Linked DNA regions of Lepisosteus oculatus. The protein of the gene in region 2 interacts with the protein of the main gene of each other region in a biochemical or structural test. Links are inferred from orthologs where the notes say so. Each region holds a gene or a part of one and is shown on either strand. Other genes may lie near its edges.

What was found.
Region 1: of the proteins of cdk1 (region 2) and wee1, one has a biochemical effect on the other in vitro, tested with the Homo sapiens proteins (5 studies listed by BioGRID, with this or other methods). The link is inferred for Lepisosteus oculatus from reciprocal best matches to the Homo sapiens genes CDK1 and WEE1.
Region 3: of the proteins of cdk1 (region 2) and foxm1, one has a biochemical effect on the other in vitro, tested with the Homo sapiens proteins (2 studies listed by BioGRID). The link is inferred for Lepisosteus oculatus from reciprocal best matches to the Homo sapiens genes CDK1 and FOXM1.
Region 4: of the proteins of cdk1 (region 2) and usp16, one has a biochemical effect on the other in vitro, tested with the Homo sapiens proteins (3 studies listed by BioGRID). The link is inferred for Lepisosteus oculatus from reciprocal best matches to the Homo sapiens genes CDK1 and USP16.

Annotation. Positions count from the first base shown.
Region 1 is NC_090716.1:9,577,777-9,585,533, reverse strand, and holds the start of wee1 (wee1-like protein kinase), read left to right. Parts: upstream 1-4,752; 5' UTR 4,753-5,401; coding exon 5,402-5,866; intron 5,867-6,656; coding exon 6,657-6,868; intron 6,869-7,214; coding exon 7,215-7,281; intron 7,282-7,366; coding exon 7,367-7,539; intron 7,540-7,630; coding exon 7,631-7,757. Other genes in the region: znf143b (zinc finger protein 143), read left to right, coding at 1-144, 559-705, 2,251-2,334. UniProt on the Homo sapiens protein: Acts as a negative regulator of entry into mitosis (G2 to M transition) by protecting the nucleus from cytoplasmically activated cyclin B1-complexed CDK1 before the onset of mitosis by mediating phosphorylation of CDK1 on 'Tyr-15'.
Region 2 is NC_090699.1:23,136,649-23,144,485, forward strand, and holds the start of cdk1 (cyclin-dependent kinase 1), read left to right. Parts: upstream 1-4,821; 5' UTR 4,822-4,924; exon of another isoform or gene 4,925-4,928; intron 4,929-6,173; 5' UTR 6,174-6,178; coding exon 6,179-6,215; intron 6,216-6,439; coding exon 6,440-6,596; intron 6,597-7,231; coding exon 7,232-7,355; intron 7,356-7,590; coding exon 7,591-7,761; intron 7,762-7,837. UniProt on the Homo sapiens protein: Plays a key role in the control of the eukaryotic cell cycle by modulating the centrosome cycle as well as mitotic onset; promotes G2-M transition via association with multiple interphase cyclins.
Region 3 is NC_090702.1:9,289,153-9,297,063, reverse strand, and holds the start of foxm1 (forkhead box protein M1), read left to right. Parts: upstream 1-4,897; 5' UTR 4,898-5,056; intron 5,057-6,101; exon of another isoform or gene 6,102-6,377; intron 6,378-6,972; 5' UTR 6,973-7,022; coding exon 7,023-7,497; intron 7,498-7,911. Other genes in the region: rhno1 (RAD9, HUS1, RAD1-interacting nuclear orphan protein 1), read right to left, coding at 1-550, 3,861-4,034. UniProt on the Homo sapiens protein: Transcription factor regulating the expression of cell cycle genes essential for DNA replication and mitosis. Plays a role in the control of cell proliferation. Also plays a role in DNA break repair, participating in the DNA damage checkpoint response.
Region 4 is NC_090700.1:19,387,257-19,394,312, forward strand, and holds the start of usp16 (ubiquitin carboxyl-terminal hydrolase 16), read left to right. Parts: upstream 1-4,056; 5' UTR 4,057-4,322; intron 4,323-4,777; 5' UTR 4,778-4,815; coding exon 4,816-4,876; intron 4,877-7,056. Other genes in the region: rwdd2b (RWD domain-containing protein 2B), read right to left, coding at 32-278, 1,633-1,995, 2,216-2,283, 3,240-3,446. UniProt on the Homo sapiens protein: Specifically deubiquitinates 'Lys-120' of histone H2A (H2AK119Ub), a specific tag for epigenetic transcriptional repression, thereby acting as a coactivator.

The DNA.
Region 1 (7,757 bases), on a different chromosome or scaffold from region 2:
GCAGACATGCAGGCCCTGGGGAACACTATCACAATGGTAACACAAGATGGCACCACCATCACTGTCCCAGCGCACGAAGCAGTGCTGGCTTCAGGAGGCACACATTCTGTCACTATGGTAACTGCAGACGGGACAGAAGGACAAGTAAGTTTTCTTTTTCTAATGTTATCACGTATTTCCAACTTTTCAGTATTCCTCAAAAAACATAATATGGCTAAGAAACATGTCCAGAGTTCTATATTTAGTTGGCAGATACAGAAAGAATTCAGATTGTGAACCCTAAGCTTACATTAACAATCTTATTTGGAGTGTCATGTGATACACAGACGGGCAATAGATTGGCCATTGACAATGGACAATGGTGTCTTTCAGAGCAAATTCATTGTCTCTGTGTACTCTTCTGATAGAAGGTTGATTGTTCAGTAGAAGGAAAGAGATAACAGGACTGACTGGCTCCGTGTTTTCAAAATACTGCAGTCCACATCGTTTTCTGGGAGAGGGATAAGGAGTGTATTTTAGTCATTTCTTTCCGACTCAGAGCTTTTCTTTTATTTTCAGGTTGCTATAGTGACTCCAGATTTAGCCACATTCCAAACGTCCCAGACTGATATGACCCAGGAACATCATGAGCATCATCTGGTATCGGGCAGCCCTCACCCAGTCACACTTCTGGCAACATCGAACGGCACTCAGATCGCAGTTCAGGTACTAGAAAGAGACTGAAAACATCCCAGCAACACTCCCCACAAGGGAGCGCACCCTGACTGCAGGCAACTGTTCATTCCATGCCATTTTCAAGACGTTGAAGAACTAGCTTGTTCCCTGAATGTGTGGTGTCATTATTACTTCATTCAGTTCGAGTGACTGAATTCACAGATTCTTGTTCTGCTGAGAAATAAAGTAGGATTTTAAACTCTTCATCTCTGGTGTGAAAGCACGGTGCGCATGATTTTCACTTTGCTCAGACCACACAATTCTACTGTCGCAGGAAGAGTCTGGAGGAAGCAGGATAATTGCCTGTGTTTTCCGAACTGTTATGGTGGCCCATAATTCTAACAGCCTGCAGACTGGCATGTGGATAGTGTTCAGGTCTCAACACAGCCTTCTGCTTGCCAAGATGGCTTGCATTAAACTGATTTATAACACATGGCTTCACATTAAAACTGACAAACAAGAAGTTGGAAAGCTTATCACATTACCCAGAAATATGCGCCCTTAAACTTGGCCCAAGAACTAACACTTAACGGATGCAGACTTTTCAGAAAAGTCTTAAAGTTGTTTTCTTAATTGTTACTTGCAGATTCTGGGAAAACTCATCTCCTTATTTTTAACTTCTTGTCTCCAGTACGAATAAAAACAGGAATTAAAATATGTATTCATTTAATACGTTTTCACACAGGACAAGATGTTGCTATATCTTAAAGTAGTGAAAAGGCTGGAAGATGAAGGAAACAGGATACATTATTTGCTTTTGGTATAAATCTGTGAATACATTTTCCACTGTATCCAATGTAAAGCGCAGAAACTATTTCTTTATAAACACTAATTATGAATATTACTGGTTTTGAACACATTTTGCAAAGAAATGTGCCAAACGTATATCAAATTAAGTTTCACCAAATTTAAAGATTTTTTTTCTATATTACAAGCTTTTCACTTATCACTCTTTGATGCAAATGAAGTCTGTTACACAATAGCCTGTGTAAATAAACCTTGTAGGACTAGACTTGATTATTATTCAATTCAATTAAAGCTTTATTGTCCCCTAGGGGAGATTTGTTTATGGAGTCTTGTTACATTCAGATCATTCAGCTAGAGACAGATTAGTCTGCTGCAGTTTATCATTATCAAATTTAAGTTTTACAGATAAGGGGTGATCTGCGTTTTTTATTTGATGCTTCTGTGTCGATATTTTGTCTCCTAACAATCAGTATTTCTAGTTTAAATTAACTACACCCGAAGAAGGCTCCATGGCCGAAACGTTGTGTTTTCTTTCTTCTTCTTTTTTTTCAGCACGGAATAAACCTATTACTTGTTCCTTTGTAGTTTAGATTAAACCTACTATACCTTATCAGTCATATTTAAAATGCTCATATTTTAGTTTTCTTTGTTATTTTTTAAAAACTTGTTAAGTATAACAAATGACTAAAGTACAAGTATAGCCTTAATCAAACTGTCTTGTATATAAGACTTGAAATCTTTCTTTTCAGAAGTCAGCATTTGTATATGATTACCCTTTTTATCTTTTAGCTGAGTGAACAACCATCACTGGAAGAAGCCATTAGAATAGCCTCAAGAATACAGCAAGGAGAAAATCCCGGAATGGATGATTAATACACAACTTGCATTGCCTTCCAATGCTTCCACAAAAAATGCTATCAGAGACTGTTCAGGAAGAAGAAAATTAAAAAAGCAAAAAATGCAACTAGCTTGCTCACCGCTATTAATATTAAAGGTCAAAACCATGAATTTCTCTTGTAGATTTTGTGTATATATATTTTAAATAGGGGGGGGGGGGGCATAATTGATCACTTTCCTGTCGATCGGAAATGTTCAATTCTCTAATCTAGAAGGATGGATTAAATCCCAGAAGTTCTTTATGAAAATCGTGCTCTTTTGTATGCCACATTGTACTCAGGACATGAATGCGTTTGGAGCTACAGATTTCCACTTTCTTTCAATTACATGTTTTGGGAGTTATAGTCACTGTACTGTGTATATATAACCTGCTAATGGTTTAAATTTCTCTATTTTACATTTGATTATGTATAAATTCTTGGTTGTGCAATATTAAAGCAGTACAATCCATCTGAAACCTTGCTTTGGGTCAGTTCCTAGTTAAGGTTGTTTGAATAATAATTCTTATAGAATTATTGTCCTTAAGAAGAGAACTATAATTGAACACCCTAAACCACAAAGTCAGATCAAACCTAAAGAGGCACTTGCTATACTTTTTGTGATAACTCAGGTTTTTTAGATTTTTCACTGCAGCACTTTATGTATAATTTGTTCCATTTGTGTGTATATTTATGTTAAAAACTGCAGTGTGTTTAAAAAATCATTATGTGTATAGAAGTTTAATATTTGATTAAATTTCTGCTGGGCAGGAAGCAATTGACCATTTTTACAATCAAAAGTTTGAGGTTGAACAGAGAACATGTTGGTAACATTTGTGCTGTACTTCAGAGAGTAAGAATAACCTCTCAAAAACTGTGAAAATGAATTGCTTCTACAAAAACGACAATTTTTAAACTAGAATTTACCTTTGCTCTCCTTTAAATCATATTCACCACCATAAAAGGCTTCCCTAAGCGCAACTTGCGCAATATCAGAAGAATCGAAGATACGATTTAACACGGGTTTAAGAAGTCAAATCCGATTAAAAGTTGGAGCTAATCAAGTGAAGTAGATAGTAAGATCAACACTGCTTATCCGAGTTATCTCGCTCACAGGCAAGACGGCCATAAATGTCGAAACAAACGCCTTAGCAAACTGAACGCTCGAAAGCCAGACACAAGGCAGAAACGCCCGATGATGTAATGCGGTGACATCATAGTTTAAAGAGCCACCTGTGGCGGAAAAAAGGTACAAAAGACATTTCAATCACAACGCCCTTCCGAAACTTAAATGTAAATGCCTAAATTAGGGCGTGTGAATAGAAGACTTTTATCTTCAATTACCCTTTTCAGTAGTCTCTTCATTTGTGTATTTTTTTAATAGTTACAATTATTTGAATTAAATATTCAGAACACAATGTAGTATTTTATACTGTGAAAAAACTAAAACAGTTGCCAGTCATCGTATTGCCCCAGAACTTTTTTTTAAGGACGTTCGCGAAATGTTTCCAAATTTACACTTTGGTTAATTGTATTAAGTGTTTCGTTATTTTTAGATAATTACCAATTAATCTTAAAACGTTTAGGATAAAACAAGAGTAATTTATAAAAAGGCGGTCCCTGAAAAAGAAATCTCCATTTACAGCCTCCTGTAACATGACTTCACGTTTGTCTTAAGAATCTGGCTCTACGGCAGTTGCTCGTATCACGCTTAAATTTTAATTTGAGGACTACAAGAGTATATTGAAATATTTTTCAATTAATATTTAAACCTCCATGGGAGTTGTTGTTTGAATACTTTTTTTCTCTTTTAAATTGCACCTTTCCTTGTGTCATATCACGAAGTCCCATACAGGGTTAGACTCATAAAACATACGAAAAGGTTTTGAACGCTCATCGTCCTTACACACCGAGACAAGATTAGTCTCCTCATGTACATTACTCCTAATGATCATTCTTATTGACTGTAGTGATTCTATCAAGAGCAAGAACATTAGATCAATAATAAACATCCTACATCGATTTAAAGCTTGCTCCAGTCCAGCAACAACTATATAATCTGCTACAAATATTTCCTTAACACTTCCTAAAGGGACTGATTTGAAGAGCCTTCGATGACGCTCTAAAAGACAGTATCCAGATACATCATAAATTCAATAATTTATTTTAGAGCAGTTCTTGTAACCGAAACAACGGCTCGTTGGCTCGGACATCCTCATCATTACAATCGGAAATGCAGCCTTCAATAAAACCACCCTGCGCAAAACTACAAGAATAACCCCCTCCCCCTACATACCAACAAGATCGCGAAATGTTCGCGCCAAAATGACGTGCAGTGTCCAGCCCCTGGGTCGGTGACGTAACTGCCCGTGTCCAAGCGCTGCACCGCCCAGATTTCAAACTTGCAGCTCGGGCGCTGATTGGCTGGGACGGGAGTCATTTGACCAACGGTCGCGGGAAGCCGCGTAGTGGGCTGCGGAGAGGAGTGATTCGAATTAATTCAGTAAACAAACGCATGTCGGGGTAGCGGCAAAAAAAAAAACACACAACTTTTTTGGGGGGTTTTGTTTGACAAGTGACTGTTCTCCGGAAAGCTGATCAGCTTACTATCTTCCAGAGGAGAACGAAAGGGAAAAGAGGAGGCTTCCTCGAACAGCCTGGTGTAGCGCAGCGAGCAGGAGTGGGAGCCGTGCGTGCAGCCATTTTCCACTAGCCGTGTCCGGCCCAGGCAGGGTAGCGAAGCTCCGCCTGCGGGCTCGCCGGTGGGAGACCCAGGGGAAGAGGGACTGGACCAGCGCCGCGCTGACGCGTCCGAGTCCGCTGGGTGCCTCGGGGTGACAGGGCTCCGGTTGTGTGGGGAAGCTCGGTGACCCGGCGCCGCCGCTGAGACCCCCTTCCAGCCGCGCCGCGGACTCTGATCGCCCGGGGAGGGTCTCCTCGGGCCCGGTGTTCTTGTGAGCCACCATATGCATTCCGGCTCGGATCGGCGGCCAGCTGTGTGTTTGTCTTAACTCCTGTGTGCCTGGCTGAGACCCACCGGGCCTTTTTGCGCGGTGCAGGGGGAGATGAGCTTGCGCGCTGCCTCTCCGAAGATGGGGCCCATCCGGCAGAAGCTGCAGTTTTCGCCCAGCGACGGGGAAGACGACCCCGTGGAGGAGGACGGCAACAGCACGGGGGCGGACTCGGCTTTCCAGGAGCTGGACTCGCCGGTGCAGCCCCGGCAGAGAGCGGCGAAGAAGAGGAGCGAGGAGCCGGGGGACAGCCCCCGACGCCTCCACGGGGAGGAGGAGGATTTCTGGGACGAGGAGGGGCTGGGATCGCCGTCTCCCGTGAAGTCCCCCGGCTCCTTCCTGATGGAGTCCCCGTCCCCCAGGAAGAGCTCCTCGGCCTGCCGGGGGTCTTCCCCGGGGGGCGCCTACGGCCGGGAGGAGCGAGAGGGCTCCAGCTCTCCCGTCCCGGACTGTCCCGACACGCCTCCCCACAAAACCTTCAGGAAGCTGCGGCTCTTCGACACGCCGCACACGCCCAAGGTGAGCGCTCTCGGGCGGAGCGGCCGGGCCGGGGGCTCCGGTTGTTTTGATTCGAGCGGCCGGCTTGTCGCTCGCCCGGGCTCGGGAAGAGACCCCCGCAGCCTGTAGAGAGACGACTTCCCAGATTACACAGCTCCGCGCTGTGTTGGCTAACAGCGGTCGGACGCTTTCTTTTTTGGACATCTCAGTCTCCTTTTTTTTTTAAAGTCAGACTTGTTCACTTGGGTACTAACGAGAGAGTTTCATGTGTCGGACCGGGGCTGCAAAATCTAGCTGCGGCACATCAGGGGGAAATTACTTCGCTAAAGTCGTCTTTTTTTTTTTTGCTAGACGGTTTTTAACACCAGCACCAAACACGGGTCTCATCAGTTAGTTCAGGAATCCCAGCGCGATTCAAGCTCTAGCAGACATTTGTGAAAGGCTCGCTTTGTTGCAGTTTTTTTTTTGCCGAGTCAGCCTTGTCCAGGTGACCTACTTAAGCGAGTTATAAAAGCTCCATAAATATCTGCGGTTAAAGGCTGAAATTGGTCTCGATCGCGTGATTCATGCGATCCCAGGCATGTCTCAGCAAGTGTAAATACACAGCTGTCTGCAGACTTATTAAATCGCCCCTTTCACCCACTGCTGTTGGAATTTGATGGTTGCTGCTAATAGGCTAGCGCATGTCTTAGGGGCAGAAACGAGATAGGTCTGTAGGAGTGAACGGGGGGCTGTATTTTGGGGGCGTCTTGAAACGAGTCCCCGGGATGGTCTGTTTCATGTCCTGGCTGTATTTATCCTGTACTCGCAGAGCCTGCTGTCCAAAGCCAGCGCCCTGGGCTCGGCGTCCGTGCGCCGCCGAGGGGCTCTCTTCAGGACCGCGGAGCCCCCCAGCAAGGGCGCCTCCGGGGGCAAGAGCCAGCAGCCGCCGCACATCAACATCAACCCCTTCACGCCGGACTCCCTGCTCATCCAGTCCGCCGCCCTGCAGAAGAACAGCAGGAAGCGGACCCACTGGAACGAGTAAGACTCCCCGGGCGCCTGCACAGAGCTTCACCGGACATCAGCCCATTCTGAAATCGATGGCCTTTGATTTGGAAACTTGGCTCTAAAAGTTAACTGGTAGTTGCACTGTGCATTGCAACTTGGAAGAAAATCATTGCTTTTACAGTTACTTGGTCTCCCATTTGAAGGGGTGTGTGGAACATGACTCATGGGTTAGTTTTGTGTACCGGGCTTCGTTATAATCGGTTGGCAAATACACGACCGGAGCACGTGTCGCCTGAGTCACCACGTGCTCTCCAGAGCGGAAGTGCTGCCCTCTAGTGCCGTCTGCTCTCACTAACTGCGAGTTTTTTTTTCGGTTTAGTTCCTGCGGGGAGGATATGGAAGCAAGCGATGGAGAATTTGAAGATGAGCTCTTTCCCCCGTCTAAGGTAGGTACATACACCTGAGCAACCGATTATCCAGATTAGCCTTTGGGGTAAAAGAATGTGGTACTTAAAGTTTTTGTTTTAACAGAGGATTACTATAACTGAAAGCAACATGAAGTCCAGATATGCAACGGAGTTCCATGAGCTGGAGAAGATTGGGTCTGGAGAGTTTGGTTCGGTGTTCAAGTGCGTGAAAAGACTGGACGGCTGTATCTATGCCATAAAACGCTCCAAGAAGCCACTGGCCGGTTCTGTTGACGAGTAAGTGCAAATGTTTTTTTTTGTTAAGTGTTTTGAAAATAAGCAGAGATCTCTGATTGCAGTGTGAGAAAGTTTTGGGTTCTGTTTCCAGGCAGAATGCTCTCCGGGAGGTCTATGCTCATGCAGTGCTTGGACAGCATCCCCACGTGGTCAGGTACTACTCTGCCTGGGCAGAAGATGACCACATGCTAATCCAGAATGAATACTGCAATGGTGGT
Region 2 (7,837 bases):
TGTGTTTTCTTTCTTCTCTTTTCAGCATGGAATTAAACTATTACTTGTTCCACGTTTAATGTAGTTTACGGATTATTTCTCCTTTTAAGTACCTAATAGTTAATAATACAGGCTATTTCATGAATTATTTTTTCAACCTTGACTTACACATACCATTGAAAAATAAGTTTGCATAATCCAGCACCTTTTAAAACCTTTCAGGCATTTTGCTTTAAAGAAACAAGTGTAAGTTTAACACTGTGGGTTTGTTTCATAACCACTATTTCACATAATTTTAGATAATTCACTATTGACATTTATATTAAGTAACCTCAGGCCACCATATAGAAAATATGACCTGAGGACATCCTTATCCTTAAAGTCAACTGCCCTTGGAGAAAAACCTGGAAAGTAAATTAAATATATAAACAAACCGAATGAGCCAAATCTCCAGGGAGCTTAGTTTTGGATTTTAGCTGACATAAAAGCAAACTCACATCTTACTCCCACCCCTTAAATCAGTCTTTCAATGTACATCTAAAAGACAAAAAAAAAATGTTATTGTAGGTTCCAACAAGGCATCTGATAAAGGAACAGTAAAAAGGAGACTAATGCTATCTGAATGCCACTGCCTTCTTTATTTTGGGAGACAGAGGGTGTGTGTCTAAGCCTACATGAATAAGTACTCCTAGCAAACAGCTCCAGTAAATTCACAGCATCCATCATCTGAAAGAAATGAGATCTTGAAATTAAGTGTTTTTGTGACCACTACTTGGTCTATCTGCAATTTTCTTTTCATATTATTTGTTTTTTGTAAGTCCAACATATCCTGGTTTTTAATCATTACAATAACAGTAAGAGTCACAGTAAGAACAATTTATACTGTGTATAGCAATTGAATGTACACTGAAAACTGCTTTACATGTGTCAATATTTACCGATCAGAGTTAGTATTAAACTACCCACTATTTACACAGATGGGATGGTTTATACAGGTTGTAAGATGAAAGGTTTTATGCAAATACATTTACTATATGGCCTACAAATAATATAGCAAAGGTGCAAATTCCCTTTCCTTTTTATGAATGACACCAAAATGACAAATTCTGGAAACCTGTAGGAAAATTACAAAATGTAAATGTACATTTTGTATAGTCTGTCAGCCTATATTTTGTCAGCATTATCCCAACCCAAAGCTGTTGAACTTTATGCCTAAGTAAAATTCTAATTACACCTTCTACAGAAAGAGCAGAATGGTAGAGGACTCTTGTAAAGCCATTACTCTTATACCGACACAAAAGTTGACAATAGCTGGAATGAAAATGCATCCTGACAGTTTTGTTATAGGTATGTGTAATAACAGATAACCGATATAACATCCTCTGAATACAGCAGTTTCAATTCCACAATTATGGCTATATGTAACAGAAGACAGATTTCAAAGAGGTCTAAGCAGGAGAAGTCAAACTAAAATTCACATAACTTAATTTGTAGACTAATCAATTAGGTCTGAAGTCCAAGGAATGATTTTACTACTGTAAAACAAAATGTGAAGACAGGAATTATCAACTTATTATGAAAATGAAGCAAGCCCATCATGATCCTTCCTGCCTATTGAATAGTTTTACTGCCTTGTTAGCCACAGTGGCTTTCCCCTGTGCAGGAGTTAGAAATTAAAATGGCTGTAGTAATCCATCAATAAATACGTAAGAGCTCCTGTCATGACAATGTGGACTGTAACATAAAAAGACAAGTACAAAAGAGTTTAGAAGATCTTAAAGCATCAATTAACATTTTAAACGAGTTTGTCTTTGAATGAAGTTGCTAAGTCTCAATGACATCTTAATGCCTTCTAACAATATACCTAGAACAGCCTGGATCAGGGATTTTTTCTTGTCTTATGTATGTACAGTCTGAGCCTTGATATTCCTTGAAAAAACTAATGCATTTTTATGGGTGCACTATACTTGCACTGCTTCCCGGCATTTTGCAAGTGGATTCAGCACTTTATAAGGGAAAATGTCCGTCTTAATTGGATACACTACCACTACCATGATGTGGATAAAAAAGTTCTGAAATTATTGGGCAACTGCCATCAACTATGAGGGAAAATGCACACAAGAATTTTTAATTACCTTCAATAGTAAGCATTAACATGTCCATTACCATCACAGAAAAAACTTGAGGCACTACCTCACAATAAAAACAATCTCATTATTGTCATAATGGAAAACTAATGATTACTGAAAAATGGTATTTCATCATGACAACAGTTCAGGCCAGCACCATGCTGAATTAAAACAAGAGCCCATACTTCAGTTTAATAAACCTTTTTTTCTGGTTAAAAGTCAAGAATGCAACAACATGTCAGTTTCCGTGTTTAGTACGATTCCAAAGCTTTAAAAGCTATTGTTTCAAGACACCCAGGACTGTACTTTCCTACTTTGTTTTTGTTTATGCAAAAAAAAAAGATGACTGCCAAAGATGACATTTGGCGCAATTCAATCTCATTAAAATGAAAGCCTTTGCACTTTCCACCTAAAGGATTAATCATTTACTTGCAATAAAACTATATTCAGCTTCAGAGTTCAGTCCAAACACAGGTGGTCTAAAAACATTCCACGTTCACGTTACCAGCGTCGACACCAATCTAATCCTGCTGCTTTACCCGAACCCCAATCAACGGCAACACCCAGAAGTACTGTAACTGTCAGGTATACTGAATTTGTAAGCGTGTCCCCGAAGAACGAAATGTATTACCTGCAGCTAATTGAGCCGTGCAGTCAATGCAATTAAATACCATGCTGTTTAATAATCACAAGGCGTTCTTCTTAAAGACTTCGCACTTCAATAAAGTGTGGACACTTCGACCAACCTGTACACTTACTTATTTAATGACATGTGTTTACAAGTGGGAAACTGCGGGCGAGAATTGATATCAATCCATGTGCCGCAAAACAAGACTAAATCGCGAAGGCTCGGTTGCTTTACACTTCTGAACAAAATGTATCCTCACCTGTGCAGTATCGCTTTCACCACCTCCAATAGGCGTGGAGGCCATGTTGCTGAAGCTTTATCCAGACCGGACAAATTTGAAATCTCGTTTTTTTAAGGGGGTGGTGGCGGTGCAGCAATATTGCTTCCTGCACAGCAAAACCCATAAACCTTTAAAAAGTTGTTTTAACTCGTTGATGAGACGGAGCTTTCGACTGTTCCAAAGCCCCGCACGACCCCCCCTGCGGCGCGCTGTCTCGGAGTCCCACACAGGAAAGTTTTGCTCGCTGCGCAGCCGAGTCACACAGGTAAAGTCCACTTGCTGTGCAACTTGACTAAGGCGGTCTGATCAGAGCCTATTGAGATGGCGACAGTGGCAGTGCCATTAAGGCTACAAACCGCCCGCTGTACTAACTTCACCGCAGACTCGGTTAGGGTGCGGCACCAAGGTTACTGCACTCATAGGCTGAAGACCTCGCCGACTGTTGCTCTTTAGATAATAGAAAACACAGCGATAATACTACTGCAGCGTTCAGAAGCATAAAATGACACCATGATTATATTGAATGATTTTTTTCTGATACTAAGTGTTATTGTATTAAGTGTTTAATGAATAAGTATACATTTATAAAAGCCATGCGGAAATAATTGTATTTAACATTTGATACAATATGCCCTTCCCAATACCACTGTCACAATCTTGCATATAAATGCCCGCACTTTCAACACCTCAATTAAAAACAATGTCAGATTGCATTGTTTTCAACTATTAGCACACTTAACGTCTATATACACCAACTAAGCATGATTTTAGTCTGCAGGTAATTTTAATTAATACAATTTAAATATACCTCTGTCTGTAACCTGACACTTTGGCCAGAAGAGGGTGTCAATATGGTTTTGAATCTGAAAACTACTGTTTACATGAAATAACCGGTAGGGCCCGAGTTGCCTTTTGATAAATCACGGTTCTGTTCCCAGAACAGGGCTGCATTGTGAGATTAAATGGTTATACGAAGAAGGAATGGGCTTCAACGCAACTTGCTGAGCTTTACTTTGAAAAGTCGTTACGGGTTAATTTGCACACAAAAAAGAAACCAAGTTAAAAACCGAAATAAATTTATATTTCTAATGTAATCACCTTTTACTTAGAGCCAACAAGGTGAAATGATAAGATTCCGGTTCAAATTGGAAAACAAATGTTCCGTCTCCAATTTCCATCGCTAACAGAGGAATTTCGTTGCCAAGAATGCAATGAACCCTGCACAAGAGAGAAATGCAAATACTATTAATAATTTAGAGGAAAAAGTACAGTTTGTCAACACATTCACAAGAAGGTTGTGTGCAAAATGTCATTAACTGTGGTTTTCTGTCCTTTAAAGTGTTGTCGCGGCTCTATAACATTTATTCAAACATTATTGATAGCATTTCCATGTTAATTTAAGTAAGCCCTTTAATGATACTAAAAGTTATACTGTATATGAAGCCTAAGAAAATATCCGTCTAAACATACTCGTATCCTTTTTTAATCATTTCCCCAACCACTACATGCAAATAAAAAAGCAATAAAAAATGATTATAGTGTATAGTGAAATGTATCATTAAAAAAATACATGGAGAAGTGAAGGTTTACCTGGAAAGTACCGTGCACAAAAAAACATCTACCACCCGCAAACGATATAAGAAACCAAAAATCCTGGAAACACTGTGTGGTTTCCAACCGGGCCCGCCCGCTGCTTTTTTTTTTGCTCATCCTCTTCCGCCGCGCTTTAAAGTCGTTCTCCCGCCCCTAAGACATCCGCCTCCCGATTGGCTCTTTTGAAAGTAATCGAGCTGCCCGATTGCTTGGATTTGAAAGGCAGCGGCGCGGCTAGTTTGAAAGCCCAAAGCTGCTGTTTTCCCCCGGACTGCTGAGTCCAGTGAGAGCGGCGCAGGAGTTACAGCCTTGGGAGTGAGTGCGTTCTTTACCAACTTTTATTGTACTGTTTATTTGTTTTTCCCTTTATATAATCTTAATGCAGAAGTGTGTGAGGAAGGGGAATTTAAGAAATGGGTTAGCATTAAAAAAACGACCCGATACGATTTCGGGTGATCCCGAAGTGTGAACAATTTAAAATAGTGTGAAACAGTTTTTATATATGCATGCATCTTTGGAGAGCATGGAAGGGCACCGGATTATATTTCTTGAGAGGAGCGGTTCTGTAACTGTCTAGCCGAAGCGCCGATGGTAGGACTAGGCCCAGGCTGTATTTGGTGATAATGTACAGTACACGGGTAACCGGCTCGTTAAAAATGTCATGAGCAGGTTCTGGGTCTGCTTTTTACAGGCCATAATCGATACGTGACAAAGGCAAACTAGACAGAATTGAGAATCATTTGCTATTAATTCTGTCTAGATAAAAACAAAGATGCAGGACCGTGCTAACAGGCGTTGCACACGGTAATTATTAACGGTAATTATTTTTTGTATATAAGATAACGAGCTGTCACCTAGTGTTCGACAGTTTCGCATCGTAGGTTTGGCTTGTTGAATAGTCTTATTAAAGGAATTATTATCGCCTCTTATCGGCAGCGAAAAGGCAGGAACGTGGTTCGTCTCGTTGTGGAAGGGAACATGGTCATGCACACGGACAGGCTAGGTCTGCATGACGCTTCAAGACACGTTTACATTTAAAAATAGTACCTTTACTCTTGTCATGCTATTATTTGCTTGAAATACAGACGTTTCCAACTTCCAATCTCAAAAATGACATTTAGCCAAGTAGTGTAAGTTGTCAGGGCACGACCGGTAAGCCCTTTTTCATATAATCACTGCTGGAGAGCGCCACCTACACAAGCAAACACTTCGGTTTAGCGGCTGTGAAATAGTTTCCAGTGTGACGAATCACAGACGTCAGAGTCTTTGTATTTACAGTCTGGCGTTTTTGTCATCAAAATCCTTTGTATAAGAGGTTTTCAACGCCATTGTTTTGAGATAATACGGTTACCAAATCGCCTAGTGTTATTTTCGGTAACAGTAGCAGCTGGTGAAACCAGTTTCGGTAAAATGTCCTATGTTTTGGAAAGTACAATGAAACTGCGTTTATCAAACGATAGAAAGCGACACTTCTTCACACAGCATAGCAATGTTATAGAACAGACAAACCGGTGAGCGACTTATGTCCAGAGTAAAACGGTGTTCTGTGTATATTTTCTTTCAGGCAAAATGGATGATTATGTGAAGATTGAGAAAATTGGAGAGGGTAAGTGTATGCAGACATTCTGTCCCTGGAAAAACAGGTGCAAGCTCAACCAAAACTGTGCTTTTGGTTTGCAAACTGTAGGAAAAACAGTTTTGTTTTGTATAATGCTATGGTTTTAATGGTCTTGTTCACCATGCTTCTTTCTTCAAGAGGGATGTTTGGGCCTGAAGGCTCACTGGCACTTCCCAAGACACTGAAGTTGTGTGTTTTGTTAATTTGTGCAGGTACCTATGGGGTGGTTTACAAGGGTCGGCACAAGACCACTGGGCAGGTGGTGGCCATGAAAAAGATCAGACTGGAGAGTGAGGAAGAGGGAGTTCCCAGCACAGCTGTCAGGGAGATCTCCCTGCTCAAAGAGCTCCAGCATCCCAACGTGGTTTGGTAAGTTAACGCATGCAGTTGTAAAACAGTTCAAACCAGGTGGTATGGTTCTCTGTACTCTGTTCAAAGTACTCTGCTCAGATTACTGTGGTAAAACATCCAATATTCCAAATTTTAGGCCTCCTGGATAAAAGCTTTAGCTAAGCTATAATCTGGCTGAGACGTCAGTTTGCATTTGGACCCGTTTATAGAGCTGGGCATTTTACTGAAGCAATTGGGTGAAATAACTTGCTTAAGTCTCCAACCACAGCGTCTCATTTTGGATTTGACTCCAAAGCCTACCAGTTAAGACTCCAGTACCCTGAGCAACTGCTGCACACTGTTTAATTAACATTAACACAAGACATTGGAATAGAACACCCTTATTGTACGCATGTACTGTAAGTGGAGTTCTTCAAATTGATTGTGCCCCACATACACACCCTCCTGCTTTGTTTTTTCAGTTGTTACTTAATCAGACCCTTAAGTGTCAGTGATAAGTATCGGAATGTGTACAACCAGGATTCTTGTTTTTCTAATCCTTTCTGTCCATCCTGTATAGTGTTATGCAATATGTTATTAAATCAGTAGTAATGAAATATTGAGAGCTTTTCTGTCCTACTCCGAGAGGATTCACTAGATTTTCGTTTCCCCAGCCTTCTGGATGTCCTCATGCAAGAGTCAAGGCTTTACCTCATCTTTGAGTTTCTTTCAATGGACTTAAAGAAATACCTGGACTCTATACCTTCTGGTCAGTACATGGACGCGATGCTGGTTAAGGTATGGCACAATTCATGGCAGCTTGGAAGGGTAGTCTTAATTAAAAAAAAAACTAGGCAGTAATAGTGTAATCACAGCTCTTTGTGATTTCTTGTGCTTGATTTCAATGTTAGAGGAAGGCACTACTTTGTATGGATCCTTGTTTTTCTAATTGTATGCAGTATGTTTTCATTTGTTCTTTAAAGTTAACATTTTCCAATGTTTTTATAAGTTATTGTTCTTTTGTTTCCACCAGAGCTACCTGTATCAGATTTTGCAAGGAATACTCTTTTGCCACTGTAGAAGAGTCCTTCACAGAGACCTGAAACCTCAGAACTTGTTAATAGACAATAAAGGAGTAATAAAGCTGGCTGATTTTGGGCTTGCCAGAGCCTTTGGGATTCCGGTGCGAGTTTACACTCATGAGGTAAGGGAGAGTGAAGGTTTAACCTTCCTTTCTCTCTGTACCAAAGTCTTATTACAGTAAGTTATGTACGTCATGG
Region 3 (7,911 bases), on a different chromosome or scaffold from region 2:
TGTCTGTTGGGGTTGGGGCAAAAAAGATGAGCCGCCCTGCAAGGTCACTGGCAAAGTTTTGAGATTCACAGCTCCTCCTGCCCCCACTGTCTGCTCCCGGGGTATGAAGGGAAGGTGGGGTGGAGGCACTCTCCATGTCAGAGTCTCTACAAGCTCGAGGTGTCCCCTCAAGGTCTCTTTCCATCTCAGGCACTGGGGTCCTCCGAACCTCACAAACATCACTGCTGAGTTTGCGTGGGTTCTTTTGAACCCCATTCAGAGATTCAAACCCTCTATTTACTTCTAAAGCCTCGTTTTTCTCAGGAAGGCCAGTCTGGCAAGAGCCCTTTCCTGCGGAGACTGCAAGCAAAGGCTGCTGCGGTTGGCAGGGTGCCTCAAAACTGCACTCAAAAGTTAATGAGGGGAACTTGCAGACGCTGGTTTTCTTGGCCCGCACTAGCGAGCTCCTCCCCAGCACACTCCTCTGGTGCGTGAAGCTGCCTGACTGCTGTCTTTTCCTCCGCCGCGCCGGGAAGTGCAACTGCATGGTGGTGTCAAACTGAGAAGTCACCTGCCAGTGCAGACGAAAAGACAACAGATGTGTAACATCAGCGGCATCTCGCTAGTGTACAGAATGCTGACGCTGAAAGTGGAAAACTACTTTATGCTTTGAATACACTTTTTATTTAGCATTCATGGTGGTAGAGCAATTATTCCCCCCTTCTCTGGGGTCATTCCATGACAAATCACTTTTAACTCAGATAAAAAAAAAGCTATCTATGGTGTTTATGTTAATATTGTAAAAGATCACGATTTAAAATTGGATGTGCAGCTAGACTGGATCACCAGTTCTGACATTTCAAAGAGTAAGATTAAGAATCTGTGCATACAAACATTCCTATTCAGGAATATACAGAAAGTACCACATTGATGGCATTAAAATCATGATGTCTAACCATGAAAGAAAATCCCCCCCCCCCATGTTAAAGACAACTCAGAAAAAAGGAAGAATAAAGCTTAAGATGTTCTCTAAACAATTCATTTCAGTTTTGATCTTCAAGATCATGAAATATTTGTTCTTCTACAAATATCTTTTATGGAATTTGATGTTTGACCATAACTATTCTAGGGTAGTCCACTCCCAATATTTAATAATTTAGCTAAAGTCTTTGTGAATTGTGAACCATTAATTAAGCATGCCAGATAATACTCTGGTTCCTGGATGTTGTCAAATTGCTCTGAATTTCAAACTATTATCAATCAAGCAGAAACTGACTTCCTGTATTTGCACCTCTGCCTGATTAAGTCAGTGTTTTTTAGCATACAAGTGTACAAGATACCATGAAATAAATCAGCCAGAAGTGCCAATACTGTGAATTTGAATTACACAAAGCTGTTGTGCATGACTCTCCTACCAGCAACACCGGTTTAATATTCCACTGTACTGTACTAATACAGTGAATAATCAAGAACTTTGTCTCACCTTTCTCAAATTACCCCACACAGAAAATAATGGTCCTCCTGCAATGTCATTACTTTGGATCACAAGCTTTGGTTCAATTAAAACACTTCCAATAGATTCAGATAAACAGCTATGGACTAATTGACTCTCTGTGCTATCTTGACAGTTTCTGAGTAAGACCATTCATGCCCAGTGTACTATAGCACCAATTACTGCTATAGACTAGCAGATGTGAAGGCAAATGAATCTGCTGTTTTTCTCACTAAACTAATTTTCACCTCTGTGGGATGTCAGCCTGGAGTCACTGACAAGAGAGTTGTGTATACTGGGATCCTTCTGACAAGCTGCACTGGTAAATTCAGATTTCAGACTTCATACCAATCTTATGAACACTTTATAGAAAAGATAAGGATTGTGAAGCCCTGCCATTTGTGTACTCTGATTCTTATTCCAGTCGCACCTCAAACACTTCACCTAACCGAGTTCTTAATTAAATTAATAATTTGCTCAATTAGACCTCTTTCAACTGTTTGTGACAATTCTGATCTTGACATCTGTAAACATTTAAGAGAACAATAAATCAGCTTAAATCAGTAAGTTATCAATCCAACAAAGAATTCAATTAAGTCATTGGGAAATCAGTTTAAACACAAGACACTCCTGTGTTGAAGGACCAGGATGAATAGCCCTTCTTAAGGCCAAAAGTATTTTACTAACAACATCATCCAATTGGTAGTGGTTTCATTAATAGCTGTGAAAACTGCATTTGAATTTTGTGCTTTTATGAAAGAGTACGATACAGTGCTCTCCAAATGTATTGGGACAGGAATATAAAAACTATTTTTGCTTTACAGTAAAACAATTAGCATTTGTAATCATGAAATGAATATGAATTATAGGTGCAATATAATATTTAAGTGTGTTTAAGTTTTGGGTAATTACATGCATACTTATTTATTATATTAGATGAAAACATACTCCACGTTCAACCTAGGGATTTCAATTGACCCTAAATACTGGAACACATTCGCTTAGGTAAATTTCGCTCAGCAGCGCCTTTATTTCTTGAGGTGCCTCAAGCGATGGGGGATGCAAACACATGTGTTGGTGAACTTCTACCGCTGCACTATCGAGAGCGTCCTCACCAACGGGATCACCGTGTGGTATGGCAACACCTCTTCGCGAGAAAGAAAGGCACTGCAGAGAATGGTCAATATGGCCCAGAAGATCATCGGCTGCGGTCTCACCGAGATTAAACAGCTCTATGAGGACCGCTGCCGTGGTAGAATTCTGGCCATCACAGAGGACAGTCACCACCCAGGGCATGAGCTCTTCACCCCACTGCCCTCAGGCAAGAGATATAAGAGCATACGGACACTTACCACTAGATTCTTCAATAGCTTCTATCCACAAACAGTGAGACTGGCGAACACATTTAGCCATCCCCCTCGGACCACACCTACACCATCACCATCTACCTCATTGTAATTTATTAATTGTACGTCTCCAGTCATTGTTTACACGTCTGTATTGTTTATATTCAAACTGTCTGCATGTTTACTTGCACATTGTCTATTGTTTGTTTGTACATTGTCTTGATGCACTGTTTGCACTTTGTTTTGTTTTTTACACTTGTTTTATAATCGAGAGACTTTCTGTAAGTAAGAATTCCATTGTACCAGTACCGGTTACATATGGCAATAAAGTTCAAGTTCAAGTTCAAGTTCAGTATAAAAGTCCGTATTTGGCTGCATATCCATCTGAGCCCACAACTGCATGAAGCTTGTGAGCCACTGAGCTCACCAACCTCTTTAATTATCTGAGATCCTTTACATAGCTTTCACAGCAAATATTTTGAATTGTTAGCCGTTTTTGGAGTGTTCAATTTTACATGTTTTGTGCAGTATGTTAAATCATGCTCAGTTGAATTTAAATCTCATCCCCTGTCTTCTCTCCCGATGAACTCCTTAGTTACACTATCGATATCTTTTGGGTCATTGTCATCCTGCACAGTGAAGCCTTGCGCAGTACAGTATTTGTTCTACATATGCTGTAAAAAATGCTTCTGTACACTTCAGAATTCATTCTACTGCTGCCATAGTTGCAATTTACGATTGACTGTAAAGAACAAGTAACAAATTTGACTTTACTTTGCCAATACTTTTGGGGACACTGTATATAAAATCCATGTATTAAAATAATGTTTTAAGAACAAGCATTTTAATAGTTTAATCGGAATTAAAGTTCAGATGAATTAGCCGCTACCAAACAAACATGCTAAAGGGTCTTAGGTCTTTTGTTCACAAAGTAACTTTGGGATGTTATATTAAATAATTGTTAACAATATACAGATCAACATTCTTAACAATTAGTAATAAAACAAATCAGTCAATACATCATTCACGTATGGTTTCATTACCCATTGCTCGCTGGTTGTGTTCTGTTCGCATGGCTGAGCTACAACTCGTAATGGGTTCACAGCCGATTTGATAGGAGTCCCGTATTGGTGTTTGGCTCCATCTATTGGACGTTCCTCGAACAGCAGCGGAGGCTTCTTCAATTGGGTGTAGCTGTTCTTCCCTTTACGGGGCATCAGAGGCCAGCCATGATCGCCCTTTGCATTAAAGAATGGATAGTTATATTCATTATTTATTAAAAATGGTGTAAATACCAATTAATACAACTTGAAGTAAATAGGCTGGTTAAGGGATTATTATAAAATTTAAAAAATATTTTGTAAAAAAGCGCAAAATGTACTCCCTTTAAATGACAAAAGGACTCATGACTTACAAAATATACAATACTTAGGCTATAAACACAAAAATGTTTAGATTTGTGGGCATTCTTCAGTAGGCAGGTAATTGATTTTAGTAAAACATGGCAATAAGATTAAAGTAAATAGAGAATCGCCGGAGCACTCTGGACAATAAAGTACTAATCACTAATGATGTGTGTGCAGATCTCGATTTTCAAAGTCACTTAATTTCAGTAATATTATACTGGAAATAAGGAAGTAGGTATTGATGCCAGATGACGAGTGTAAGTGGGCCGAAAGAACTACTATAGTGAACATAATTGACAGTCACTCCACTTCCAGTTTCGGAATATAAAAACTACTAAACTCGCATCATTTTAGTGTTCGTGAAAGCTTGATAACGAATTAAACTAAAATACAATATTTGATAACCTTAGTCTGACACGCATACAACTAAAGGCTGAATACTCACGGCTCTATTGTCCAAAAAAGTATTCCCATGTATCAAACGATATCCACATTTCCGTTTCTAATTTTTCTTGTTTGATGTCCCTGTCTTGTGTGACACAGTCCAAAGTGAAACCTGCCAGTCGCGCTGATTGGTCCGCTAAGGAATCGCGAATCGGCTTTCCCTGTCTCTCATTGGATGGTATCAGATCACATGACCGGAACGAACGTACCAGCGCCAAAATTCAAAATCCTACTGTGTCTGAATTAGAAAAAATTCAGGCTCGATATTTTTTAAAATGGTTGCGTAGAAACGTGTTGGAAATAATAACTATTTAATCAGTCTACAAAGGAATTGTTGCGTTTCGGCGCTGGAATCATAACTTCAAAAAGAACAGTCTTCTAATATGAAGGTAAGCTTTAAGTCATTGTGTAACTCGTAACGCTTTGTTATAAAATAATATGGAGGTCACACATTGCTCAGCGTAACAGATAATATACATATAGAAATTATGTTTTGGGGAAAAAATCACACTGAAAAAGATCCTGAAAGTTAACATCACATTCGTCTGTGTTTTCTGAAAAAGAAACTGTCTACTATAATGTGATGAGCGCGTACGCGTCTTAAGAACAAATAAAGGTTACAAATGAAAGCCACAAATAGTGTAAAGTAGGGTATTTTAACTTTTTTTCCGTTGCACAAACAAGTAGTAAACAATTACTGAATCAATTGAGAAACACAAACTAGAGGACACAAGTGAAGCTAAGGGGAAGTAGAACAGGAAGCACTTTTTACACAAACGTGTTGTGTGGGTCTGTAACAAGCCATTATGTTGAAGGTGATACACTAGCTTCGTTCAAGAAACCGCTTCACGAGATCCCGGGATCAATTAACTCCAATTCAAGCAATAAAACGAACTAATTATATAAGTATCTCAAGCAGATGGCTTTCTCTAGCTTGTCACAAGTCTTATGTTTTTAAAGTATCCTGCTCTCAACTCAGGGTTTGTTAAGGTGGTTCGTTGTCCTAGAAAGTACAGCAAACTGGGTAAAGCGGAGACATGACGGTTGTAAACCTCTCGACCACTGAATGATGGGTAGCCACACCTCTGTATATGTATTATTGCGATGTAATATACAATATTTTTAAAGCAAAACATGAGAATTTCGTTCACGTTTCCTGTGCGCGTCAGACCCTGCAACATTACTGCCGTTTTTATCGAGGACTTGCAGTAGGGGAGTCCGAAGGCATTTTGAATTGTAACTTCTTTAGGACAATTTGTGATGTCCATAAATAGAATCCGGCTGTAATCTAAACAAAAATATCTACTATTTTAAGAATTAATACGTCCAGATATTTAATCGGCACCCGATATTTTTGTACATAATAAGGAAACGCAGTCCCAAAATCAGTTTAACGGCTTTTCTGTTCCAGAAGACTGCACGTCACAAGAGAGGTGACATTTGAAACAGAATTTCAATCGTTACTAAAAGTCGCTTGTTGATTTCAATTTGAACGTGTCCTGTGACTAAATCAATCGAGGTTGTTTTCGTTTAATTAGCATCGTTCGGTTGGACTGATCTGTGCTCTCCTGGAAGTTCTTGTCCAAGTAATGATGCCTTTTGCTTAAAGCGCACCGAAAGACAAAGATAAGCAACGTCTCAGACCAATAGAACAGGAAATATACCCAGTGCGCAGCAGCTTTTCAGATATAGTACCGACAGTGGAGACAGGTAGCCTAGTCTTAAATTGTTCTTTTTGAAAGTTACTTGTTCAAGTCATTTTGTTGTTCTCACCAAATAGAATTTAAATACCAGATGCATTGTTTAACACTGTGATCGTAAATTGTTAGGATTAATTTTTAAATATTGCATTTTCTTACTTTTGATATGCACTCCCTTTTATTTAGTGAGAATGATTATTTGATTAATATCTGATTATGATGATTGAATATTAAGTCGTTCATTTAATTTATCCTGCGCCGTGTTTTACGAGTAGGTAAATCGCTGTGGGATTATGGGATTGCGAATTATTTGACACTTCCATGAAGTTCCGTGCACAAATTAAAGTCATTGTGCTGTTCTTAGAGGGGACAGCTTCATGGAGCTCCTCATTGTGTGTTTGTATTTTTGCAATCTACATTTATCGCACTAATTGCATATGATTGTATTCCAGATATAATAAAGTTAAATATGATCTTGATTTTGACATCTTTATTCTTTCTCAGGATTAGGATTTTAGAAGTGAAAAAAACTCCATATCTAAAGATTTTGTCTGATTGGAAGCCTATTTAATTGGCTGTGCTAAATGCCTTTTTTATTTTTTCAGAAAAATAAATTTTGCAGAGAGATTTTCAACATCAATACTGCCTGATCAGGATGAAAGAGAGCCCAAGGAGGCCCTTAATCCTTAAAAGGAGGAAGCTTGCCCTCTCTAAGAAGGAGGAAGAGGTTGGCAAGGATGAGCCTGATGGAGCAAAGCAGAAGTCAGACGCCTGCAGTGGACAGCAGTTCCCTGCCGGAATCCGGATCATGGATCACCCCTCCTTGCCCAACACACAAGTGGTAGTGATTCCAAAAACAGCCAATCTTCAGAGTGTCATAGGGGCCCTCACTGCCAAAGGGAAGGAATGTGGTGCACAAGGGCCCAATAAATTCATCCTGCTGAGCAGTGGAGGTGGAATAGAGGATGGGCCTGTATCCTCCAAACAAAGCCGTATTGTTGCTCCTGAGGGAGATGGGATTTCCCCAGTCCCCCTAGGTCCGTGTGGGCAGCTAGAGGTGATTAAAGAGCATCAGGGGGATGAGAAAAATCAGTCCACATCAATCATGCCTCTAACAGAAATAAAACCTAGTAAGTATTTCTTGGTGCAAGCTGTCAGTCAGCATGTTTCTTTTCTACAGCAGCAGCTGTTCTGTGATTGGGATTTCTTTCTCGGGCAGGAGAAAAAATTGCCAAGTTGTAGGGTTAAATAAAATAAGTGCCGGTTACTGTTTGAAGGTAATTTTGTGGAATTGAGTTAGTCATTATATACATGTAATGTTGAAAATCAATATTAAATCAAAACTGTTTTTTTTTCTAATGGATTTATTGGTCTGGGAAACTTCATTTATTGCCATATTAAACCGGTTCACTTTAAATATATTGCTTTCACCATGCTCTCAAACTAGGGAAACTTAAAGAGAACAGGTAAAGGTTTATTCCATGCTGAAAAGAAAAAGGTTTTGGCTGTGGAGCCTTCTTCTGGTGACGGAATTAAGGAATAAA
Region 4 (7,056 bases), on a different chromosome or scaffold from region 2:
CACTCTTCATATACAAAGTGTTTAACATTAACTACCTTCCTTCAATTCCAAAGTAAAGCTGAAAAACATCACCACAGCCCTTCTCACTCAAAAAATGATAGAGCTGCCCAAGGTCCATGTGATTTCCCCTGTTTCCATGTGCATCAAATATCGCTTCCTCAAACACAGTGAATCGACGATGCAAATCAAGCTCTACGTGAGTATCGACGCCATCCCTGTCCAGAGGAATGTCTTCCCTGTGGCGAATCATGATTCTTTGCCACGTCAAACGCCTAACCCTAGGAAATAAAGAACAGAAAAGAACCCTCTCAGCATTTATTACAAAATGTTAACCATTTTGTACAAGTCGATGGGTCTGATGAGCGTTGCTACCAAGTCATGAAACCACTTCAGTCTAGAAGGGGTTTCCAAATTCTCTGTAATTTCACTGACCTGAAAGCAAAAATACATGTAAAATGCACACATTTCCAGAATATTTGCTGCTAAAACAAATATATTTAGAAATAAATAACGTTAATGATTCAAGACGGCAAGGATCATTCCCACTTTCTTCTGCATTATCTATGAAGAGACATAATTCTGGTGTGGTAGAAGTAACAGCTAACTGTCCAAAATCACTGGTCATGTAAGACTTCTGAGCAGCTTAACTAGTGAAGGCTAGTCCAGTGCAGCTCCTCCCCTCTCGATTCTGGGCTATGTTATTTCCAAGTGGAATTCTGTCAAATGGGTTTGTATTTGCCAAGGTGTTCTTGGTTGGTCTTGTTAAATCTCTACTAAGCAAGGCTGGGTCTGGTCAGTACTGGGACGGGAGAGCTCAAAGGAAATTACTACAGTAAGTGAATTTTGTGGGCAAGCAGAATTTTTAAACCAGAATCCAATTGGTGATTGGGTGCCATTGTGCAGTAGGCGGTGCTGTATTTCAGACGAGACATTAAACTGAAGTCCCATCTACTTTGTCCCAGAAAACATTCAAAAGAGTAGGGGAACTAACCAATGTCCTGGTTAAATTCCACCCTAATGTTCCTCCTAAAGTTTCCCTTTGTGTTAAGTAATTTGTGTTCTCTGTCTTTATCTAATCTGAGTGCTGAGCAGGGTAGCTGGCACATAATGGCTGTTGTACCTCAGTCATGGATTAAATCACCCCTGCATTACGTAACATTTTTATGATCTTTTAGGATTTCCTTATTAATGTCTGCTGCCTGTCATGTTATCAGTAAGAGCCGCATCAGGCCACCACTTTTTGCTTCTGCTCCTTTAGGTGCCAAGGGGCTCAGGGTGACACAGAAAAGCAGATAATCAACATGGCTGTCATCTCTCCTACACTTCTATAAAGGTTTTATGTCAAGGTGATGGACTATCTGAGATTTCAATTTTGTTGGAATATTGAAAATAAGAAAAATACCCCAAATGTAAAAAACTGCAACAAGAACTCACTGATTTGTTTATTTTATGGAATTCACGCTGCTTTCAAGTCCTCCTCTCCTTGCATGCATATTCAAAACAATGTTCACAAGCAACAAACCAAGTACGCATCAATATTGATTACATTATACATTACAATATTGATTTGGACAAGGCTTAAGATCTTTAGTGAATGGCTCTTTAAAAATAAATTAAAAAGATTAACTATACCTTGCCCAAAACTCCTCACAAGCAGACCGGGGTCCTTCAACACACACGACACCAGGCTTCCCAGGCATGCTGAACCCAGTTAATCCCAGCTCTTTGGACCAGTCCAGAATATTCTTCCTCTTCTGCTTGTTGTAAATGTGATGGCTGTAAATCCAGAGCCTCGAAAACATATTTTCTGCCACCGAAGAATCCACCTGCTTCTTCAGAGCTGAAGTTGGGTTTTTATTAATATAGAGATGAGCATTGTCCTTAACCCATTCAATCGCAGCCAACACACAGACGTCCCCACAGCAGGTATCATTCAAGTATGCATTTAGATCTGTATGTAACTGAGTCTGTTGTGTCCTATTGAGTTCTGAAGACCTAAAAAGAAAGCACAATGTTGGAAGGGTAAGGGTGAATGGTTATAATATTACTCTGCATATTATAATATATAATACAGTACATATATATATACACACACTCTGTATATTATAATATTACTACTCTGTACCTTTCATTTTTGTACTTGTTTCTTATTATGTATGCATTACCATGATTTAGTTTTTATCCTTTACTCAACACCCCTTTCTTCAATACATACCTGACCGTGATTTCTGGTAGAACTGTGGGATAGGTTACAAGATAGGAGCAGGAGATTGAGAAAGTCACCTGCAACAAGAAACAGCCCATGGAATATTTTCCGTGCCATTACAGCAAAACCATCTACCAACATGGTAGAGGCAAGAGTTTCTATTAACAACAAAACTTCAGAAAGATAAAGGGTGGATGTGTAGAAAGAATTAAAGGCTGCCTCAGCATGCATAGGCTGAAAAGGAACAAGTAAAGGTTTATTCCATACTGTAGAGAGAAGAAAAGAAACAGAATGTTTCGGCTGTGGAACCTTCTTCAGATGCAGAAACTTTGTGTTTCTTATATTCTCTTTTCAGAGTGGATGTGTAAACTAGGATCCTGAAGAGCTACAGTCCAGCAGGTCTCATAGGTCACCATTAAATAATCACATTTGAAAAAACTTCTAAAGTGCATAATTTTGATCAACTCAATAAACTAACTGATTCAGGAATTTACAACTGTGGTTCTTGTGAGTTATGAGGTGTTAGCATTTTCATTTCCCAAAATTTCTCAACCACTTAGTCAGTTAGAATTTCTCAAACTTTATTGGTATATCATAATAAAATTGTTTGAAGTGCTCAAAACATGACTGGACGCTGACCCAATATAACCTGCTGGGTTGTGTCTCTCCAGGACCAGGGCTACCCAACAGTAATGCATGTTAGTGCCATCCTCTTTAATTCCCATGAAAGTCTGTACCCTGCTCCTTGCCTTTAGGATATTTTCTGCCATGAAAATGAAGCTAGATGCAGATTTAACAGTTATGTACCTAGAATATTAACCATGGCTAACAACATTTATTTCAGTCAGCAAATATTTTCTCAAAATGGATCAGTGACAACTGTACGATCAAGGGCTACTTGCAAATTGTGCTTTAACCGCTGTACACTAACAGGTTTAAGGTGAAAACAAGCTGGTGTCTACTTGTTCCTTATTGGTACAATTATGCAAGCGGAAAGAAGACAATGTCTCATGTTGCAGTGACCAATATTTACCAGGTTCTCACTGTAAATGTCCAGTTTTTGCTGTATGGTAAACTGAGGCCTGGAAGTGGGAATGGCATTTGTTCTACCTTCAACATAGTCTCTGAGCTCTGCTAAAGCCAGCTGGTCATCAATGACCAACTCTTCCTGACTAGGAAACATGCTCAACAGCAGCTCAATTTCAGAAAGCTGTTTGCCTGCTTCTTCTATTCCAGCCATGTCTAAATTATCTGCAATAAGAGAAAAACAGACACCGACTTGATTTTAATACATGAAACAGGAGAATTAGCAAATCTGAGGTTTCAGGGGAATGGTATTATTAGTATTAGTCATAATACTATTATATTATACTACAAATGCTAATTTAAAGACGCTAAAGAAATACAGTTTTGAAGATTCGATAACTATGCAGATACAAAATCATTTTTAACATATGTTTCAAGTTTAAAACATTACGAAATGTGAAATACTAAGATAATTATACCCAATAAAACGTAACAGTGCCTGTGACAAAATTATACATACTATCATTGAGAACTTTACTGCGGTATTAATGCTGTTTTTATCTTCTTATACCTTTTCAGTTAACACAGTTATTATATAATTAAAGGCATGGTTCTATGCTTTATGCAGAAGTCATAAAACATATCAAAGTTGAACTTGATTTTCAAAATTGTGAATTACCTCAGCGGAAATGTATTTTTAGAGCCACTGTAACTAACATTTCCCAGACACAATCAAAACAAGTCCACGTTTTGACGTTGAACTGATTCCGGGATCATAGGAAACACGTGCTCTGTCTATCAGTATGACCCCGGATATGGGAAGCGGCTCACGTTACACGTTACATGTATTGCTGCAAGTAAAACCATATGCTGGTCTCAGCGTAAATATACCGGTGTTTTGCTAGCTTTTGTGTTTTATTTCTGTTAGATTTAGTACAAAGGATTTGTATTTTTCTAGTTTAAGTAGTTGTCTGTCAAGATCATACAGTACTTTTATTTACCAGCAAAAGTGTACATGCGAAATCTATATACCTAGTATTGAGGTTATAGTGGGGATCTCAGTCTTACTGTGACTGATCATTTTAAGCAGGTAATGATATAAGATGTTGTAAGGTTACAAAACACTCAGTTTTCTGCTTTTGTACTTCAAATACTTATCATGTGTGTTCTACCTCGGTAATAAAGTTGATGGTATAACGAAGTGAGAAATGGGATTATCGCTGAACAGTACGAGAGCACTGTAGCTAACCCAGGAGATGATTTCTGATAATACTTCTTGTGCATGTTAAGTGATATACACATACGTCTGAATATTAGTTTCTTCTTTCTTAGAAATGTTTTTCTTGCGCAGTTATCCCATCAGACATAGTTGTAGCAGTAGACAATTTAGTTCATCCAAAATGAGTATCATAACCGTATTGCAGCATATTGTTAGAAAAAAAGTAACGAGAAACAGTATGTGATCATTGTATTGTATCGATCTCGTGAGTTATTTTGCAAATAGAGCAATCGAAAGCCAGCTTTATTTTCTTTTTAACTTTTTAGTTGTTCTTTGTCACATATAGTCACCCTGCTGGAGAGTAATGGGTAAGAAGAGAGCAAAGGAAAAACATCTCAGAGATGAAGATCCAGTTGACGTTACAGGTAAGAAAAGGAAGATAACTGCAGAGTAACTGCTACTTACATGTTCACATCTCAGTTGGATCTAAACTGTTAAACCTGTCTGTCTCTTAGAATGTTGTTGTTTCTACTAACCATAACTTTCTGATCGGTATGTTTGGTATTCTTATCTTTTAATATGTGTTGTAGGTCTGTGTTGAATCTATCTAGCTTAATTTAAATGTGTAACGCGCCTGTTTGAAACTGCAAGTACTTTTGATTCAGGCCTTTGCTTTTGTTATAGTACTGAATAGAAGGTAATTTGTACTGTTTTCCGTTAAAGATGTTTTAATTACTTTGATGGAAGTAATTTACATTATATTTTTGTAACAAAGCTAGACATTTATAGTAAACCCTTGGTGTAAAGGACTTCAGATTCAACAGACAAAATCTGCTAAAGGGGAATTACATAGGTAAAATCCAAAATTCTGATGTTCCCTGCAATAATGTTGAAATGACAGAATAAAGCAAAGTTCAAATAAATACTATATGTTTGAAATTCAAGAATATCAGCTGTGGTTTATTGTGGTAGGTTAATTGCTTGCGATAGGTTTGTGTTTCTAATGATTTAGCAAATTTTATACAGTTTGTTTATGACAGAAATAAAGAACTTGCTTATGTATATTCAAAGGCTTTATTAACAATTTTCATGGACTGCTGATTACAGTTGATAAAAAAGTCAAAAGATCCAGTAAGCATATAGTGTGTATATATACTGTATATATGTTTTTTTTCTCATATAATAGTGTGTTTTGGGGCTGAAAAAGTCATTTGTAATTTACTAGACATTCAACAATAATGGACACCCCTTCCCTGAGGGTTTGCTGTATGTTCTTAAATTTGGACCCATTTTCATGTGACATCCCTTTAAGGTTTGATAAAGATACCCCAAAGGACTTCTTCAGAATTTAGAGTGAAACATAAACCAAGGGTTACAAGTGGAAACTGTGGGCAGTGCACTTAAAATCAAGAACAAGAAGCACTTCTTTATGTAAAGACTTGTGGGAGTGACTAACAAGCTACCCAGCCATAATACTCTAGTTTCTTTGAAAAATAGAAGCAAACAATACAGATGGACCAAATAGCCTAATCTGTTTGTAACCTTTCTTATGTTCTCATGGTATGTTCTTAATTAAATCCACAGTCATTTTATCGTTAGGTTTGTTTAACTGTCTTGATTGTGAATTCACATTTGACTGTTGATATTGAGTTCATCCCTTAAAGGAGATGTCCTGTGAAATGCTGTTTGAGCAGAAATAGACATGTTTAAAATGTACACTTAAGTCGTTTTTAAAATCTTTGTATATTGAGTCTATGTGGCCCATCCTTCTTACTCAATTGTGGGTAACAAACAGGTCCCAGATTCCCTTAAAACTTTCTATTGACAGATCACAGTGTGTCAGATTCAAGACTTTGACTGCGCAATGTATAAAACTACAGTGCCTTGCAAAAGTATTCAGAGCCTTGACCAATTCTCTCATTTTACCAAATTACAAATCCTACGTTGAAATTTTGTTCTCTGTGATATTTTTATTTCAAAACATTGAAACTCAAAAGTAGTTATTTTAATGTGACATTATGTTATGTTGCCAAACATTCTTAAGAAAAAAAAACTGAAATATGCTGTTTGCATAAGTATTCAATCCCCACATTTTAATATTTTGTAGAGACACCTTTTGCCTTTTGCAGCAATAACAGCTTTAAGTCTTTTGAGGTAAGTTTGTACCAGCTTTGTGCACTGTTCAGGAGTGATTTTGGCCCATTCTTTCAGGAAGATTTGCTCCAAGTTGTTCAGGTTAGTCAGATGACGCTTGTACACCGCAATTTTCAAATAGTGCCACAGTTTTTCAATTGGATTGAGATCAGGGCTTTGACTGGGCCATTCTAAGACATTCACCTTTTTGTTTTTGAGCCACTCCAATGTTACTTTAGCTTTGTGTTTGGGTTTATTGTCCTGCTGAAAGATGAACTGTCTCCCAAGCTTCAGTTTTCTAGCAGACTGAAACAGGTTCTCTTGCAGTATTTCCCTGTATTTTGTACCATCCATTCTTCCTTCTATTTTAACAAGATGCCCGGTCCCTGCTGATGAAAAGCAGCCCCATAGCATGATGCTACCACCACCATACTTTAATGTAGGTATGGTGTTTTTTGAGGTGTGGGTAGTG